Arabidopsis thaliana: one gene and its partner. The protein of the gene in region 1 interacts with the protein of each later gene in a biochemical or structural test. Each region holds a gene or a part of one and is shown on either strand. Other genes may lie near its edges.

Evidence for each region.
Region 2: of the proteins of HA2 (region 1) and AT5G02760, one has a biochemical effect on the other in vitro, tested with the Arabidopsis thaliana proteins (one study listed by BioGRID).

The regions. Positions count from the first base shown.
Region 1 is NC_003075.7:14,769,765-14,777,716, reverse strand, and holds HA2 (H[+]-ATPase 2), read left to right. Parts: upstream 1-1,658; 5' UTR 1,659-1,796; coding exon 1,797-1,838; intron 1,839-2,851; coding exon 2,852-2,971; intron 2,972-3,070; coding exon 3,071-3,307; intron 3,308-3,415; coding exon 3,416-4,177; intron 4,178-4,264; coding exon 4,265-4,387; intron 4,388-4,466; coding exon 4,467-4,571; intron 4,572-4,674; coding exon 4,675-4,819; intron 4,820-4,908; coding exon 4,909-5,411; intron 5,412-5,510; coding exon 5,511-5,543; intron 5,544-5,635; coding exon 5,636-5,717; intron 5,718-5,820; coding exon 5,821-5,981; intron 5,982-6,077; coding exon 6,078-6,251; intron 6,252-6,347; coding exon 6,348-6,712; intron 6,713-6,803; coding exon 6,804-6,897; 3' UTR 6,898-7,152; downstream 7,153-7,952. UniProt on the Arabidopsis thaliana protein: The plasma membrane H(+) ATPase of plants and fungi generates a proton gradient that drives the active transport of nutrients by H(+)-symport. The resulting external acidification and/or internal alkinization may mediate growth responses.
Region 2 is NC_003076.8:623,695-627,884, forward strand, and holds AT5G02760 (Protein phosphatase 2C family protein), read left to right. Parts: upstream 1-1,559; 5' UTR 1,560-1,682; coding exon 1,683-1,974; intron 1,975-2,049; coding exon 2,050-2,411; intron 2,412-2,568; coding exon 2,569-2,805; intron 2,806-2,901; coding exon 2,902-3,123; 3' UTR 3,124-3,430; downstream 3,431-4,190. UniProt on the Arabidopsis thaliana protein: Dephosphorylates and represses plasma membrane H(+)-ATPases (PM H(+)-ATPases, e.g. AHA1 and AHA2), thus influencing negatively plant growth and fitness. Promotes the apical hook maintenance of etiolated seedlings.

The DNA of each region.
Region 1 (7,952 bases):
CATATATATGACATGATAAGTTTTTAAATGTGTTTGTAAGAGTCATTTAAGTCAACTAGATGATAATATATTATATCTTATATTTTAAATAATTTAGTTAAGGTTCATTTGAGCTGCAAAATTAAATACATAGTGAACTTATTTTACTAGATTACCAAAATTATATTGGTAAAGAAATATTGTGGCAAACTGTAAATAAGTGATGTCTTTTTGTATTTTATTCAAATAAATAGTATGATATATATGTAAAGTATGTTACTGTATACAATAATCTAAAACTTGTTACCCCATGATAAAAAAATGTGATAAATAAAATCATTTTGTTTACAATTTTTCTATCCATCATTTGTGAAAAGAAAAGAAAAGACAAGAAATGATTTTCGTATCTTGTACATATTCTCTTTACCTAATTTACGAGACGTTTGTTTAGACTTGAACACTTATTAATTAGGACATGAATCCTAAGAAGTTAAAACGTAGAGGAGTTGGAAATGACGAACTTTGTATTATTGGGGGACCCATCACAATCAAAAGTCAATTTCTCAGTATATCTTCAGAGGGAACAAATTTAATTAACACTATGGTTTTTATTCAATTATTAACATGTGACATCGTTCCCATTGCTGACCTTGCCATGAGGCACACCTTGGAAGGGCCAATATTTTCATTATCAACGTTAGGGCCACAAATAACTATATATATTAAAATTACTATTCTACAAATTACTACTATATAAATTAGTCCGTCGTAACTAATTACGATCCACACCAACTGATATAATGTAAAAATAGTAAGAAAAAGTAGTTTTCTTACCTGCTTAATCAAGGTATGTAGTTTTTGTTATAAGCATCTCTGTCAAAATTTCAGAGATTTAAAGTGTTTTGGCTTGGAGAAGTATTTGTATGGTTGAGAAAGAAAAAATGGAAACAAAACCGAAGTAACCCATTATTGCTTATCGAAAAAACAAATTTAGAAAAAACGAACCTAAACCAGTTGGAAAACGATTTTGTTAAGAAAATATAGTATTAGTTGAAATTTTCAGAAAGAAATATCTTTCTTTAAACAAAACCTAATAGGTGTCCAAAAAAAAAAAAAGAAAAATGAAGAAGAGGACAGGCTAAGCAGCAAGTAGTATGTTGCTTAGTCAAATATAAATTAAAAAATCCAAGCAATGTATACCTCCACCAAATATTTCTTTCTTGATATAATGATTCATGACAAAAGAAAGAAAAAAAACACCAAAGTCTATGATCTAGTAATTAAAAAAAGAGATATTACAAATTAGTTTCTCTTATAAGCTACTTCCTCCTTAGAGTCCCTTTTCAAACTACTATAAAACATCAAAATATCTCAAAATAAAAAGAAAATAAGAATTATTAACGGTAGAAAATTTTGTTGTTTAAAATGAACAATTATTCCATAATTAAAGTGTAATTAGGACCCACAAAATATATACAAATTTGATTCGGGTTCATAAGCCAAAAATATTACATTAATCAACGGTCAAAGGGTGATTAAGAACTTAAAGAGGCAGCAAAATAAATAAAAAGGGTAATAAATATAGAGAGACTACTTGGTAATGGGACCCACATAGCCAAAACGGCGGAGAAAATCGTCGTTTTTAGTGGCTTATAAAAAGAGGACTCGTATCGACTCTGCAACAGAACCACCTAATCTCTCCTCCTCTCCTTCTCTCTATTTTGCCGGAATACATATGATCGAGTGAAACGGCGGACAAAGCTGTCGTGTTGAGTACTAATTCGCCGTCGTTTTTCTCAGTGAAGGAGTGGTGAGAGATGTCGAGTCTCGAAGATATCAAGAACGAGACTGTTGATCTGGTATACCATTTTTTATCCTCTGTTTTTATTTTATGCTCACAAACTGTTCGATGATCTGCCTGAATGAGAGTAGATCTGTATCCACTTGGTGGCTTTAAAGTCTTTCCTTGGTTATTACTTACTCTCATTATGGTTTCGTTTTTTATATATACATTTTCATCGATTTAGTTTTGAATATGTGAAATTTGTTTAGAAAGACTATATTTTTGTTTCTGGGTAGTAATTAAGTCTAAGAAACGTTTGGAGGACATGAAGAGTTTGTTCATGAGAAAAAAGTAGATCTAAGCATGTGATATACTAGTAAACAAACAAGATAAAGAAAACAGAGTCTCTTTTTTCAGTGGTGGAGCTAGCTACGTCTCAATAAAGTCCAAACCTACTTGTACAATGTTTTGTCTTCTCTTTTTTTGGTTACTAGTAAGAATTTATTTGGTGGTATTTAGAAAAAATAAATATGACTTTAATCAAATCTGTTACTTAACACGAAGTTCGGATTTTTTTTTTGGTTGTACCTTTCCGTGGTACGTTTAACTTCTCTGTCTTTAGCAACCAACAAAAAAGAACACATCTTTTGTGCAGACGTAACTTCTTTTCTGTGTTTCTTGGGACAATAATTTGAATCTTTTTTATTAAAATGCTACTTTTACATAACTTTGGACTGTATTTACGCGACCAAGCCTCGATTTTTACGCCGGGAAGTGAGGGGAATCTTTCGGCGCGTGTGTTTCACGTCGCCATCACGTTGGTCGGTGGTGGCGGTCCCCACTTCACCACCGCTATTTCCCCCCCGCCAAAAATATTTCATTGTCACCGAACTAGTCAACGACTTTTTTCCAACTATTGTACTTATGAAACAGAGTAGATTTATCTACGGTTACAAAATCATCAAAGTTTTCTGTTTTACTTAAGAAAAGGTTTCTCCTTTTTAAGGTTTAGAAACTTGTTTTGTGTATGTGAAAGTTTGAGTTGTTTGGATTTGGTCATCTGATCGAATTTGCTTTTGATTTTTTCAGGAAAAAATTCCGATTGAGGAAGTTTTCCAGCAGCTAAAATGTTCAAGGGAAGGATTGACAACGCAGGAAGGGGAGGACAGGATTCAGATCTTTGGCCCCAACAAGCTCGAAGAGAAAAAGGTCTGATTTTGCATTTGTAGCTCTCAGATAAAATACATAGTTGGTCTCCTTTTTTTTTGTTACTGAGTGTTTGGTGATTTGTGCAATGAAAATTGACAGGAAAGCAAACTTCTGAAGTTTTTGGGGTTTATGTGGAATCCACTTTCATGGGTCATGGAAATGGCTGCAATCATGGCCATTGCTTTGGCCAACGGTGATGGTAGGCCTCCGGATTGGCAGGATTTTGTTGGTATTATCTGTCTGTTGGTTATCAACTCTACCATCAGTTTTATCGAAGAAAACAATGCTGGTAATGCTGCTGCTGCTCTTATGGCTGGTCTTGCTCCTAAAACCAAGGTATATATATGATAAGAGAATGAATGGTGTGAATTTGTTATACAGAACTTTCTGAATTTTCCCTAGAGCTAATGTTTTGGTTCTTGTTGTGATGTTTCTCTGTTTCAGGTTCTTAGGGATGGAAAGTGGAGTGAACAAGAAGCTGCTATTCTTGTCCCAGGAGATATTGTTAGCATTAAATTAGGAGACATTATCCCAGCTGATGCCCGTCTACTTGAAGGTGATCCTTTAAAGGTTGACCAATCTGCTCTAACTGGAGAGTCCCTTCCTGTAACCAAGCACCCGGGTCAAGAAGTTTTCTCTGGTTCAACCTGCAAACAAGGAGAAATCGAGGCGGTTGTTATTGCCACTGGGGTTCATACCTTCTTCGGTAAAGCTGCTCACCTTGTGGACAGCACTAACCAAGTTGGACATTTCCAGAAGGTTCTTACAGCCATTGGGAACTTCTGTATCTGTTCCATTGCTATCGGTATGGTGATTGAGATCATCGTCATGTATCCGATCCAACGCCGAAAGTACAGAGATGGAATTGACAACCTTTTGGTCCTCTTGATCGGTGGTATCCCCATTGCTATGCCTACAGTCTTGTCCGTGACCATGGCTATTGGGTCTCACAGGTTGTCTCAGCAAGGTGCCATCACCAAGCGTATGACTGCCATTGAAGAGATGGCAGGAATGGATGTCCTGTGCAGTGACAAAACCGGGACACTAACCCTCAACAAATTGAGTGTGGACAAAAACTTGGTCGAGGTTTTCTGCAAGGGTGTGGAGAAAGATCAAGTCCTATTATTTGCAGCTATGGCTTCCAGGGTTGAGAACCAGGATGCCATTGATGCAGCCATGGTTGGGATGCTTGCTGATCCAAAGGAGGTATAACCCTTTTTGGTTCACATGTTATTTGTAGTTTTACTGAGCGTCCAAGAAACATGTTCTGATGTTTGATTGGGATTTTCACAGGCTAGAGCTGGAATCAGGGAAGTTCACTTCCTTCCATTCAACCCTGTGGATAAGAGAACTGCTTTGACTTACATTGACGGCAGTGGTAACTGGCACAGAGTCAGTAAAGGTGCTCCTGAGCAGGTGATGGATCTTAATTTTACAAGCTAATCCTTTTTTTTTCTTACCTTTCTTTTTTATACTGATTTGATTCTCCCAACAGATCCTCGAACTTGCCAAAGCCAGCAATGATCTTAGCAAGAAGGTGCTCTCCATTATTGACAAGTATGCTGAGCGTGGTCTTAGGTCGTTGGCTGTTGCTCGCCAGGTACTTATTCGCCATTAATACTGATAGTTCCAGTCCCTTTTTGCTTTTCTTTTCTCAGTGGTAACAAATGTTCAACTGTTTGTCTTCTTATTCCCTTTTGTAGGTGGTGCCAGAGAAAACAAAGGAAAGCCCAGGTGCGCCATGGGAATTTGTTGGCTTGTTGCCACTTTTTGATCCCCCAAGACATGACAGTGCTGAAACAATTCGACGGGCTTTGAATCTTGGTGTTAACGTCAAGATGATCACTGGTAAATTTGTCTACCCATCTATCTTGTTGTGCTAGCTATACACCTTCACAAGTTCCCCCTAACATTCTCTTGAACACATATGTGGCCAGGTGACCAACTTGCTATTGGTAAGGAAACTGGTCGCAGACTTGGAATGGGAACAAACATGTATCCATCTTCGGCTCTTCTTGGTACACACAAAGACGCAAACCTCGCATCCATTCCTGTTGAGGAGTTGATTGAAAAGGCTGATGGATTTGCCGGAGTCTTCCCAGGTTATAATCTGCTTATTTATTGTTTGGATTATAAACCTCACTATATGTTCATTGCAAAGGTGGTGATGTTAGTTCTAAGCTTTGTTTTTTTTATTGCAGAGCACAAATACGAAATTGTGAAAAAGTTGCAGGAGAGGAAGCATATTGTTGGAATGACTGGTGATGGTGTCAATGATGCCCCTGCTCTAAAGAAAGCTGATATCGGTATTGCTGTTGCTGATGCTACAGATGCTGCTCGTGGTGCTTCAGATATCGTGCTCACTGAGCCTGGACTCAGCGTTATTATCAGTGCTGTTCTCACCAGCAGAGCTATTTTCCAGAGAATGAAGAACTATACTGTGCGTCTTCTCCTATTTTTCATCCTTAATTTATTCCAACCACTTGCTTGCTTGCAATTGAAACTAATTACTCTGTTCTATTTTTCTCTCTTGTTACAGATCTATGCAGTCTCAATCACCATCCGTATTGTGGTATGCAAATAAATCCGTTTGAGTTCTGGCCCTTGTTGGTTTTATCTTGGATTAATAGTATGCTGATCATATTGCGTTGAAACTTTTTGCAGTTTGGTTTCATGCTTATTGCTTTGATATGGGAATTTGACTTCTCAGCCTTCATGGTTCTGATCATTGCCATTCTTAACGACGGTGAGCAATGGCTGTCCTTTTGTATAAACCTCAAAATTTGTTTACTTTTTCTACAATGTTTACTTATATCTTTTGGTATTGTGTTGCTATCTTGATCTTATAGGTACCATCATGACAATCTCAAAGGACAGAGTTAAGCCATCTCCCACACCTGATAGCTGGAAACTTAAAGAAATTTTTGCTACTGGAGTCGTTCTAGGAGGCTACCAGGCCATCATGACTGTTATTTTCTTCTGGGCGGCGCACAAGACTGACTTTTTCTCGGTACATACAATTGAGCTAATTAATTTCTCTTTTACAGAAGTTTTTTCTTAGGTTCTTGTTCAGAGTTGTAAAGTAAATTTCACATTGGATTCACAGGACACATTCGGTGTGAGGTCCATTAGGGACAATAACCACGAGCTAATGGGTGCGGTGTACTTACAAGTTAGTATCATTAGTCAAGCTCTGATCTTCGTCACAAGATCAAGGAGTTGGTCTTTTGTTGAACGTCCTGGAGCATTGCTGATGATTGCTTTCCTCATTGCACAACTGGTAAGTTCATCAAATCAACATTTTAAGGGAATTCTTGTTTGGTAAAAAGGTTCTCAAAGAAGCACCCGTTAAATCCATTCATTCTTCCAAATGCAGATTGCTACTTTGATTGCGGTTTACGCCAACTGGGAATTTGCAAAGATTAGGGGTATTGGATGGGGATGGGCTGGTGTGATCTGGCTATACAGTATTGTCACATACTTCCCATTGGACGTTTTCAAGTTTGCCATTCGATACATCTTGAGCGGAAAGGCGTGGCTCAACTTGTTTGAGAACAAGACGGCTTTCACGATGAAGAAAGATTACGGAAAAGAAGAGAGAGAGGCTCAATGGGCACTTGCTCAAAGGACACTTCACGGTTTACAGCCAAAAGAAGCTGTTAACATCTTCCCTGAGAAAGGAAGTTACAGAGAATTGTCTGAGATCGCTGAGCAAGCTAAGAGAAGAGCTGAGATCGCTAGGTAATAAATCCGATCACACACGATTCTTTTTAATCTAAGTGTATTTTTTTGTTGGAATTAAACACTAATTGAATTGTTATATGTTAAACAGGCTTAGGGAGCTGCACACACTCAAGGGACATGTGGAATCAGTCGTGAAGCTAAAGGGCTTGGACATTGAAACTCCCAGTCACTACACTGTGTAGTAAAACCAAACATATGACTGATCTTCGATCCTCTCATGTTTTGTCTTCTTCTTCTTCTTTTTTTCTTCACCACCTCTTATGATTATTATTCACATAGGGAGAGATCTTTGTTTATTGCCATAACTCTTCCCAAACCTTATTGTTAGTGTTCTTGTTTCTCAAATATGTACTTTTGCATAATTTGCTCTTTTGAAGAAACAAGGCATGCCTTTGTGTTTGGCATTTGGCACATGCACATTCTCTTCTTTGCTCTTATTCCATGAGCCTATGTAATCTTAATCTTCTTCTTTTTCGTAATCCAACTTTTCTTCCGGCTTCTTTACTTTTATATATAGTACCTAAATGTTATTTATACCTAGGGACAACAAACAATTTGCTTATTTAAATCAAATTTTGTTTGTTGTAAAGAAGGGAAATAACCATAATTTTTTCTTTTTTTTTTTCACTGAAACCAAATCAATTAAATAACACTATCCTTTAAAAATGCCATTAAAAACATGACATGAGACAAGTTGTGTGGAAGTAGTACGGCTAGAATCTTAAGAGAAATAGAGAGATTTGGATGCGTGCGAGTGACTGTGAGACACGTGCAAAGATATGGATGATGACTTCAAATCAATGTTATGACTTTCATAGTTTACACATATGTCATCCAACTTTCCTCCTTTTTAGATATTTACAATTTCGGCGTTTTGTTTTTCATATTCATCGAATTTTTTGGAAAGTAATTCTAGTCCAGTAGTCCTAATTTTTGTTTACATTTTAATGGTGCACCTGTAGTTACTGCAGCTGGAACATATTGGTGATCTCTACTAATGTGTAGCTTTTATTTAATTGAAGATTTGTTACATCTGATTTTTTGTAGTCGAAAGTTCATATGTTTTCGCTAAAGGAGAAAAAAAACTTGCAGGAATATAAATATATACACAAACACAAAGTTTGTCAGGTTAAAATGATTAGAATATTAAAGTTTGGAGATTTGCTCATAACATTAAAATAATAAATTCAGGAAAAAAAGACAACATAAGAGTTTTATTTTAGGCAGCACATCGTCT
Region 2 (4,190 bases), on another chromosome or scaffold:
TTTTACCAAATTATGCGTCAAGTCACACCAATTGATGAGGTTGGCCTTATCGAACTAGTGGAACCGTCATATGCGAAACCAAATATAAGAAATGAATGAAAGACCTTTCAACAAAATTAATAAGCAAGTAGAAGTAAATCCAATATCAATATAACAATTGGTTAAACCTAAATTATATGCATCCAATACGAAAATTCTTTTTTTGGTATCTTTTAATCCGTTTATTATATTTGTGGAGCCTAAGTTGCGGATCCACTTGTATTCCTTATTTGAATCATTGTTATCATTTCTCATTGTTTGTGACTCGTGAGCTAGAAGAAACAAAAACAAAAGGATAACGTAATTTTGATATTTAAAGTAAACCACTATAAATCATTGTGTGTGTGTTTTTTCTTGTTTTAAAAGATCGAATTAGGGAGCCTAACATGTTTTTGTCTCAAGAGATTATTATCATTAAAAAAAACAAGTGGAAGTGGAAGTTGTGTAACCCACTTGTTGAATTCTTAACTTCGAAGCACAACAAAAAGATAGACGAAAAACGAAAACTCGATCTAACTTCGACATATGCATTAGATAACATATAGAAATTTAAACAATCTCGTTGATGAAATTGGTCTATCAACACACGACAGTGGTTCTCTCTACAGTAGCATCAAATCGGTGGATCCTTATGAACAGAAAAAACGAGGAGGGACAGAGGAAGGCCAATGAGGGGTCATGCAAAATGGAACTTAGCAAAAGTACCAAAAAGATCCATCCTCTTTGAAAATTCATTTCAGCCCCATAATTATCCATGACATGAATTTCGATCTGAATCTCACAACAAGTAAGAGATCAGCTTTTGATAACATTAAAGAAAAAGGTAAAAAAAAGAAAGACGAGAGACTGAGAAAAGGGCAAAGACCTGTAGGGGTTAAGACAGCTAAGAGTGTTCCTCAGTCGCCCCACAAATGTCTTCTCTCCTCTCTCTTCAGTCTTTCTCAGCTCTCAAATCTTTAAATGGTTCCAAGTTCAATGCTCCCAAAACCCACGCCCACACATGCATCCTATGACCTTTCCTTTTCTATCCATTTTCTTCCCACAAATTACCACTTTGCAAACAAAAGCCAAAAACTCATTTACAAGATGAGTTAATAAAGACACTAACACACAACCAATGTGAAAACAGACGTTTACATGAGATATTGTTACCTCTAAGAAGTCATTAATCATATAATGAGAACATTCTTGCTTCCTAAGTTTTTACAAGATTATTAACCTCTAAGAAAGGAGAGACACTTTTAACGCAATAATAACTACATGATGTTATAAATATAGGAGAGAGTAGAAAAGAATATGACAGCCCTACTAAGACAGAGAATCATCATCGAACAGTAAAGAGGAGAATCTCTGAATATCCACTTTAAACTACTGCCCTCTTGTCTTAACTCTCAGAACCATTTAATTTTTCAGTTATTTTGACCCATACCCTTTTTGGCCTCTTTCCCTGCTTTCCAACACCTTCACACTTACTCTAGGGCTTCCACGGCTATATATATATGGTCCCTTCCTTAAACTTGTATCTCATAATTCACAACCAGCACTGCTACTACTAGTTTATCATTATTCCATCAATTTATTCTATATAGAGTTCTTCTCTGTTTATATTACGATATTGCTCGAAGATTACATACCTGAGAAAGATGGTTAAACCCTGTTGGAGAATAGGTGCCGGTATGGAGAGAAGTAAGATCAATCCCACAAAGGTTGATGGTTTGACATGGTACAAAGATCTTGGTCTTCACACCTTTGGAGAGTTTTCCATGGCAATGATCCAAGCCAACAGTGTGATGGAGGATCAGTGCCAGATCGAATCAGGGCCGCTTACATTCAACAATCCGACAGTTCAAGGCACATTTGTTGGAGTTTACGATGGCCATGGAGGTCCAGAGGCTTCCAGATTCATTGCAGACAACATCTTCCCCAAGTTAAAGAGTAAGACACCGACTTTTTTTATTTCCTTTATTGTTGAATCTGCCAGGCACACTAACACTGGTCTCACATGAACAGAGTTTGCGTCCGAGGGTAGGGAGATTTCAGAGCAGGTGATCAGCAAAGCATTTGCCGAGACAGACAAAGATTTTCTCAAGACAGTGACGAAGCAATGGCCTACGAACCCACAGATGGCATCAGTGGGGTCATGTTGCTTGGCAGGAGTGATATGCAACGGATTGGTGTATATTGCAAACACGGGAGATTCCAGAGCTGTGTTGGGCAGATCTGAGAGAGGTGGAGTGAGAGCTGTTCAGTTATCTGTAGAGCACAATGCCAATCTTGAGTCTGCGAGGCAAGAGCTATGGTCATTGCATCCTAATGACCCCACCATTCTTGTGATGAAGCACCGCTTGTGGCGTGTGAAAGGCGTTATCCAGGTAAACATTCATACATGATAACGCATCTGATAACCTGCACAGAGTTTTGCTTCATCAGTTTCTATGAAATACAAAAGCTTAAGAAAATCATATATTGAAGCCTATCTTGTGTAAGGATGTAAAACTGACTAGCAAATGTGTTATGACCTTTAACCAGGTCACAAGATCCATAGGTGATGCATACCTCAAAAGAGCAGAGTTCAACAGAGAACCTTTGCTGCCCAAATTCAGACTACCAGAACATTTCACTAAGCCAATCCTTAGTGCGGATCCATCAGTCACCATTACGCGGCTTAGCCCACAAGATGAGTTTATAATTCTTGCTTCAGATGGGCTTTGGGAGCATCTTAGCAACCAGGAAGCTGTTGATATTGTGCATAATTCCCCTCGACAAGTAAGTTCAATGCCTAACCCATATACAAATACGTTACATACTAGCACAATGCACACCAAGAACTATTCGTTAATACTAATACCTTCACAATCACAGGGAATAGCAAGGAGACTACTTAAAGCTGCATTGAAGGAAGCAGCAAAGAAAAGAGAGATGAGATACTCAGACCTAACAGAGATCCATCCTGGTGTAAGAAGGCATTTCCACGACGATATAACCGTTATTGTGGTCTATCTCAACCCCCACCCGGTCAAAACCAATTCTTGGGCTTCACCTCTGTCAATTAGAGGGGGATACCCGATGCATTCAACATCATGAACAGATCTTACGGCAAAAACACTTCCTGTGTCAAGGGCAATAAATTGGAGCCAGGGTCAAGAAAAGAACTAGTAGTATAGCTAGAAACAATATTAAGTTATGAGATCTTTGATATGTTCTCCACAAGAAAACATGAATTCTCATGTACCCCTGTATGCAAAATTATACACGAGGGTACTTGCATGCAATATCATCAATGTCAACGCTGGTAAAATTCGAAAGCGTTGCAACATATTGGAGTTTAGGCACAAAACAGTAGATAGCCAAGAAATGTGTTGAAACTTAACATTACATTCCCTTTATAAAAGTTTTCTGGCGCTTCATTCAAAATTAACAGAAAGCAAGTATCAACAAAAGTTTATCTAAAATCTATTACAGAAACAAAGAAACTGTGTAGCATCAGAAGCCAGCAAAAACGCAGTCCCACGAACAGAGAATTTAGAATCTGAGGCTCTCTTTCCTTCAACTGCCATAGAGACCAGAGATATGGAAACCAACAAGTACATCTATAGTTCTAATGATGTCTTACATGACAAAGAAATTCTGAAGTAGCGGCTTGAGAGGTCATATGAAATTAAGTAACCTAAGAACGACACATGTTTATGGGATCCATTTTGCATGCAATATTCGCAATCAAGCACAGAACACCAGTAGACCAGCTAAATTTCGTAACCAAGACTAAGAAAAACTAGCAAAATAGGCACAACTCAAAAGTAATCAACACTTCTAATTTCTAACTAGTTCAAAACAGTAAAAAAATGTCTCCCTTACTTAAATATTTGCTGCATGCAGTACAAATTTTCAATTGCTGGTGCTTGTGCTTGATACGAACATGCAATACTAAAAGGACCATCCACATTCCAATATATTAAAACGAAATAAAGTTATTAATCAAACTATACTTACCACTCCAAGAACCTGCAACATGGAAAACATCAATACCAGCCACTTCAGAATTCCTAGGTCCTAAACACATTGATAATTGTCATTTCAGACAATCAGAACTATAGGTTACTTATTGGTTTCTCAAGATCTCATCTGGTGATTGCTCCACGACCGAACTTAGT